2 linked regions of the Drosophila melanogaster genome follow. Changing the gene in region 1 together with any one later gene gives a genetic interaction. Each region holds a gene or a part of one and is shown on either strand. Other genes may lie near its edges.

What was found. Genes that interact genetically often act in the same process or in processes that back each other up.
Region 2: of Cul3 (region 1) and Galphas, changing one suppresses a phenotype caused by changing the other (phenotypic suppression), as found in Drosophila melanogaster (one study listed by BioGRID).

What each region holds. Positions count from the first base shown.
Region 1 is NT_033779.5:15,268,634-15,272,390, forward strand, and holds the start of Cul3 (cullin 3), read right to left. Parts: upstream 1,692-3,757; 5' UTR 1,284-1,691; coding exon 741-1,283; intron 572-740; coding exon 188-571; intron 125-187; coding exon 1-124.
Region 2 is NT_033778.4:23,940,454-23,944,210, forward strand, and holds the start of Galphas (G protein alpha subunit s), read left to right. Parts: upstream 1-2,084; 5' UTR 2,085-2,148; exon of another isoform or gene 2,149-2,361; intron 2,362-3,523; exon of another isoform or gene 3,524-3,757. Other genes in the region: Taldo (transaldolase), read left to right, coding at 1-73, 604-727, 787-1,561.

The DNA of each region.
Region 1 (3,757 bases):
TGATCAGCATACTGCAAGCATTCTTGATAGCCAGATGGTTAATGGCTTCGCCATGACGTTCCTCCATCACCATGCCCAGCAACTTCTCTCGCAGGGCCTTTTGAATCTCAGAATAGCGAACCACCTGGTAATGGAAAAAGCGATAAATATATTTCCAACGGAATAAATGCAATAAAGATATTCCTACCTGATCCCTGAACAAAATTAATCCCAAATTGTACACATTGTCTACCTCGCGCTGCTGCACATAAACTCTATCCATGTACATGAGTATGTCGCGGATCATCACCATAGATGTCTGGTGGTCTGTCCAGGCCTGGTTTAACTTGGGTAGGAAATTGCTGTGCAGAGCCTCCAGCACATCCGCCCGCACCTTGTGCTCCAGGTGTTCTGAGACGACCTCCCTCAGACCGTAATACAGTCTATTGCCGTGCTTATGCAGCACCATGTTGTACGCATTCCGGTAGAGTTGTTCAAACGATAGTCCGGAGTTGTTCTTTTTCTGTATCTCCTGGATAGCATTCTTTAAGCTGGCCCAAATGGTCTCCACGTACTTCTCGTCCATGGAGGCCTGGAAGAGAAATATAAGATTATTAATTTGGATAGTCAAGAACTTATTTCTCAGGGATTAAAACTTATAAATGCATAAGAGTGTAAGAGGGATATTAAGACTTTCGCTTGTTAGTAAGTTAACTAAAAGTTGAAATCCCTGTTTGGTTTTTATCAGATGGTAGGCTAACATTGAATGCCCTTCGCTTGTACTCCGGTAGCCAGAGTGGGTACTTCCGTGCTATTTCCTTAAAGCGTTTTTCTGTACTTTCTGCGCTCGCTGAAGCTGAGGTTGATGGCCCAGAGGTGGTTGCACTAGTTTCAGTTTTAACGACAGCTGGAGCAGCAGGAGCTGGAACTGGCATGGAAAGTGGCGTCGGCGTGAGCGGGTGGTTAGTATTAATTCTGTTATCAGCCCGAACTCTGCCACCGCTGGCGGCAAGGTGATAACTCCGCCGCGAGGCAGAAGCTAATCCCTGAGCGGACAATCGATTTTGGGACTGCTGGTGTTGCTGCATTGAGGAGGCGTTGGGCACATTGATGTTCATGCTTCGCGCCTGCTGTCCAAGAACGTTTTGCCTTGCAATCCGGCAAGGCACGGCAGAGTCCACATTACCGACAGTTGCGCCATTGAAGTTGTTGGAGCCGGCCACCATGCGATTGTGGTAGCGGCCGTTGGCGTTGAGGTTGTTCAGTGGCTCCGGCTGCTGTTGGCGGGGATCGCGGCCTTGCATGAGATTGCTACGCTGGTCCAGCTCACACGTCCTGTCCCGGTAGTGGCTCCTCTCTTCCTCGCTGAGTGCCAGAGAGCGAGGGGCTGGATAATAGCCCGCTGCTGAAGCCGGTGCCTGGCGAGACCGACTTTGGTTTAACGACTTAATGATGATAGCTTCAATGTCACATCCGCCGCGCGGTTCTGCTACACCTGGTCCGCTGCTCCTCCTCCTCCTCTGTGCTCCGTACTCCGGCCAGAGTTCTACTCGCGATTCGGGTCTCGCCCTTCACCCTGCTCTCCACATACAGGTGTTCACAGTCTTTTTGTGTGTGTTGTTGGTCAACAATAATTTCTCGAAAACTACGATTGAATTCGTTGTAACTTAAAAACTAAAATGTGTGTTGAAAATTCCCCTGGCCCCGGTTGGTGTTTTGATGTTTTTATTTGTTTTTGATTTTTGGTGTTTGCTTTTCATGTCGCCTGACATTTTGTGGGGAGAAATGTTTGGTGTCGCCTAACCGGTGAATTTGCTAATTGTTTTATAAAAATTATCTAACTCTTAATACCCGCAAATGGCATTATCTTATCGAAACATTTTGCAAGTTCATGATGCGATCGACAGATTTTTCGCTGCAACTCTCATCTCAACTGCAAAGCGAGTAAGGGGCTTTTCAAATGAGTATATCTCGTTTTTTAAATTCGTTTGCAAATTGCACTCAACCTTTTCAAACGCTTAATCTTAAAAATTTGAAGATCATTGTTTTTTGAACCAAAGAAATGGCATAATCTGGGATTATACAACTTGCTGTGGACAGCAAGCTCTTTCTTCATAGTGATTTCTTGGATTTGAGCTTAAAATGAAAATGTTTTTACAGTTTGTGGTTTAAACTTGTATTAGTTCCGGGTTGTCAGATAATAGATAATCTCATATTAGTTCGCTCTTAGCAATATTACACGATTAAGAGTGTGTATCGTGGTTTTAACGATGCTCCAATGTGGGTTCTTACCGGAAAGGCCCGAATGCGCATTTTGCCCTCCTTCTTGGGAGGATTTCCCCGCAGATTCATGCTTTGCAAGCGTCGGCACTGCTCCTCCACTTTATTGGCGGTTCGGACTCCGGAGCAGGGAGCTGCAAGAAGAGCAGGTGCTTCTCCGACTTTTCCGATGACGGAACCTGCTTTCCTCGGCGGCAATCAATGGTTAACACAACAAGAACACAGTTAACCTGGGTTATCCTTGGTTTATCCTGAAAGATAAGGAGAGGTGAATGGATTAGTTCTATCACAGATCTCCCAGCATGTTTACGCTACAATCCGCGTAGGGTGGTGCCGAGATGAGCATTCTGGTTTCGTATATTTGTGCAAACATTCCACGCAAATGTTAGGGTGTCAAGCGCGATGTACACAAGCAGACGTGTGTACGTACATATGTATATATATGCCCGTGTGTGTATGTCTATTTGGGGAAGCGGCTGGTTTTATTCGCGAATAGTTTGCAATTGCGGATATGTCCCGGGATACCAATCCGCCGTACTGCGTCGTCACTTCCTTTGTCGCCGCCTATATCGCAGATATCGGATATATGTGCATGTACATTGATTCGCTGGCCCATCCGATCTCTCCGCGTAAAAGAAACGGTGAAAAAAACTCACACGGCGACAATATAATTGTTATGTACATATACGTGCAATTAATACAAGAACCGTTGTTTTCGCACGCACTTCCAACCGATGATCGATAAATATACGTCCCAGGGAAGTGCATTCAATTGCTAGACGTTATCGAGCCAATGCTTCTATTTTCACTTTGTTGCTTTCTTTATTTTCTTAACGATTCTTCTATTTCACTTTGTCATGGAAAAGACGGGTTACATATGTGTGTGCGTGTGGGTGCCTGCCCGTCTCACGGTCTACGCTTGTGTGCGTATGTTTTTGTACCTGGCCTTTTGAAACGGCTTTCCACGTCGCTTTCGCACAATTTTTACTATTTCAAAATGTATTTTACCGGTGCGAATGCATTAGTAAAGTCACTACTATTATTTAGCTTGATTTGTTGCTGTTTTCAACGTTTACTTGCATTTCATATTGATTGTAGGTTTTAATAGCGATGGGCGACAAAAGTAGCATTGTTGTTGTTTTTCGAGGCGAATGGTGATAGCTATCGATAGTACTTTTCCATCGATAGTGTCAAAACCAGTTGCTCTCAACTTTATGATAAATAAAACCAGTAAAGTTAACAGGAAAGGAACTGACTTTGCATCGCACGCAACTTAAGAAAATATGTAGTTACTTTTTATTTTATTTGTTAAAGGAATATAAATATTAAATATAAAAATTAAAAGGAAAGTAACTGACTTCTTAGTACGCTTGCATCACAAGCAGAACCAGAAGAATTATTGTCACTAATTATTGATTTCTTTATTTATATAAATTAATTTTTATTTGGTAAAGATTTTATGTTCATAAATTTTGAATTTTTAAAGTACATAACATTT
Region 2 (3,757 bases), on another chromosome or scaffold:
AAGCAAAAGATGTCGGTATTACAGGAACTCAAGAAAATCACCACAATTGTGGCTGACACCGGCGACTTTGAAGGTAAGTACGCACGCAAGGTATTTTTCTTAACAAGATGAGTCCGATTTCAAAGCTAGCGTAAGTTTGCCTCAAAAGTGGGAATCCAGAAATGCAACTAAAGCGAAATGCGAGTCTGAGCTCGAACATCCATACATATATAGAGCATACATAGAATCCGAGTCCAAAGATACATAGGATACATGGATTTATCCAAAAGATAAACATTAACGACGGGCCATCGGATCCGTCGTGTCTGCCGCAGTGAAGATCAAATAAAAGTGAAAAGCAAATCCGAGCTGACTTTAGTTTGACCTTTGGTGCTTACGTGTGTTAGAAATGTGACCGCTATAGTAAAGTGTACTATAGAATGCCACCAGAGATAAGGTTTCGGAGCAGAGTGCCAAACCTGCTCAGACATTTGAAAAGTTCAAAGATATTTTCGGTCGGGCGATTGAAAAATGAAAGTCGCTCAACAGGTTTCGAGGTCTTTCTAAAATTCGCAATGTAATTTGGCCCCGCACTTATGCAAATACTTTACACATTGCTTCCAGCCATCAACATCTATAAGCCCACGGATGCCACCACTAATCCCTCCCTCATCTTGTCCGCTTCGTCCATGGAGCGGTACCAGCCGCTGGTCCAAAAGGCGGTGGAATACGCCAAGGGCAAGAAGGGGTAAGCAGTTCACTTGGGTGTTTGCCACACAAAGCTACATAGAATACCATCGTTTGCAGCTCCGTGAGTGAGCAGGTGGCCGAGGCCATGGACTACCTGTGCGTGCTGTTCGGAACGGAAATCCTGAAGGTTGTGCCCGGTCGCGTTTCCACCGAGATCGATGCCCGCTTGTCCTTCGACACCAAGAAGAGCGTGGAGAAGGCCCTGAAGCTGATCGCCCTGTACAAATCCCTGGGCGTCGACAAGGAGCGAATTCTGATCAAGCTGGCGTCCACCTGGGAGGGCATCAAGGCGGCCGAGATCCTGGAGAACGAGCACGGTGTGCACTGCAACCTGACGCTCCTTTTCTCGTTCGCACAGGCCGTGGCTTGCGCCGAGGCCGGCGTGACCCTCATCTCCCCGTTCGTGGGCCGCATCCTGGACTGGTACGTGGCCAACACGGATACCAAGAAGTTCGAGGCGCTCAAGGACCCGGGCGTGATCTCCGTGACGAACATCTACAACTACTACAAGAAGTTCGGCTACAAGACCCTGGTCATGGGCGCCTCCTTCCGTAACGTGGGCGAAATCAAGGCCCTGGCTGGCTGCGATCTGCTTACCATCAGCCCAGCGCTGCTTAAGGAGCTGGAGAACGAGACCGAGTCGGTGGTCACCTACCTGTCCGTAAGCAACGCCAAGCTGCAGGACATCGAGAAGATCACCGTCGATGAGAGCCGGTTCCGCTGGCTGCTCAACGAGGACGCCATGGCCACCGACAAACTTTCCGAGGGCATCAGGAAGTTCGCCGTGGATACTGTTAAGCTGGAGAATTTGATTAAGACCTATCTTAAGTAGATGTTCCTCTGGGTCCGCTAGCAGGTGGAGGATGAATACATTCGTTTTTGAAAAAGACAATGATTTTATACTTTAATAAACACTACAATTAAAAGAGATGACAAGATTCAGTTGGGAGTTATGGAAATTATTAAATGGGTGAATAGGTTTGGCATGCAAATAGCATGATTACTCGTTGCAGATATGGATACGAATAATAAATACTAAAAGTTTACAAAATAAATAAAATTTGCAAATTATATCACAGATAAAGATACTTTTTTTTTGATACCTTATCATAACAACTTCAAACATGTTTTCTACACGCCCGTGTAGAATATCTATGTAAGCCTGTAGAGACGGCTGCTTATGTAAAGTATCGGACGGGTGTTTCTGGATTTCGCTATTCTACATAGCTCGGGATACTTTATTTTATTATTAATATTCGCTAAAATAGCACATCGTCATTTGGCATAGATGTTTTTGGCCCAGTAACATATCTATCTACATCACCGCCCGCACTATCCGATAGGCAGACTGACTATCGATAAAAGTATCTACTTCGTTGCATCCCTAGGTTGATACATAAAATAAAAAATATATAAAAAGTGAGTTAGTACTGGTATTAAAAGTAATTTTTAAGCTACAAATTGATGAATTGCGAGCACACAGAGACTAAGAACATTGGGAATCCGGAAAACAGTGGCTGGCGCGTCGGGTGCGATAGAATTGCCTGTTTTTCAGACCCCAAAAGTCGCTCCCAACCGAGTCGTGCACCTATAGTCTTGGCCCGAAGTTGCTCCCATGAATAAAAATGTTCGGTAATTTCACGGTAAACAATAACCATTGTCGAACGCAGGGAATAGTCGCGTTCGCACACGTAATTGCCATCGCGCAGAGATGTGATTCGCCCCTGCAGCCCCTCGATCTCGACCGACCTCCCGATTTTCGGACGTCCTGCGTCCTGCGACCTGCGACCTGCGTCCCATGTCCTTAAACCTGAAATCAGTGAAAAATCGTTCGCGCATGAATATCCAAAATACAATCCCATCCATCGAATTCAATCCATTCGAATCCAAACCAATCCAAGCAGATGCGTTGCGATGCGATTCCATTCCATTCGATTCGATTCGATCCGATTCGCGATGGTATAGGTATAATATAGTTTTTCTAACCAAGTGTCAAAGAAATGGCAAATATTTCGGATTCGGAGGCACGGAGCACTACGTATTGATATATGTACATACATTTATTTATGTACATCCATCCATTCACACATGCGAACCGAGAACTTGTGTATATATCTAAATACATACGCACGTATATACGAGTAGATACACAACGGTGTGTACTCATATCTGTGAGATATATATGTGCCCGTGTCCGTGTCCGTGCCCGCTTAGATCCCGATTCCGATGCCGATGAATTTATGTACATATATTTACATTAAAATCTGCATATCTGCCATATCTGGCATATCTGCCACCACCCCCTCCGCCTATATAGGTATATGTGTAGGGTATAGTACGTTCATCTTCCTGCGACTCCCGTCGGTCGGCAATAATTGCTAGATTAAATACTCTTAATATTCGCGTGCCTACACTCATCCGTAAACCCACATACGAGCTAATCGAATCCGAATCCGCGTATCGGACCCATCCATTCCATTCGAGCCTCAACTGCAGATGGAATTATGTTGGGTTGGTATCTCTATATACATGCGTACCTGCTGCCCAGTATGCGCGAGAGTGCCACCCTCTCCGCCCCCTTCTTCACCTGTTACACTACGCCGATGTTGTGGATGTCGATGTGAATGAGAATGTGAATATGGCTGTGAATATGGATGTGAATATGAATGTGATGAATTCCAATCGTCCGACGCGAATGTCCAACGCGAATGAACGCGCGTTGCGTGGAGTAATTTTTGATTTTGATTTTCATTCCGATTCCGATGCTATGCGAGCGCTTTTGGGACCCGAAACCCAGTGACTCACGGGACTTTCGTGGGCGGCAATGTCAGCGGCGTCGCCTTGGCTTAGTAGGCACCCATTTTGGTCGCTACACTCGCGCGTACGCGGATGATATGGGGGCACTGAAGTGGATTCGGGATTCTATGCAATCGAAATGGGTTTCTGCTGGAGAATCTCAGTTAGTGGGAATAGAAAGCTCGAGGATCGTTAGTTCTGAAAGTTCTGTTACTCATTTTTCCATCTACTA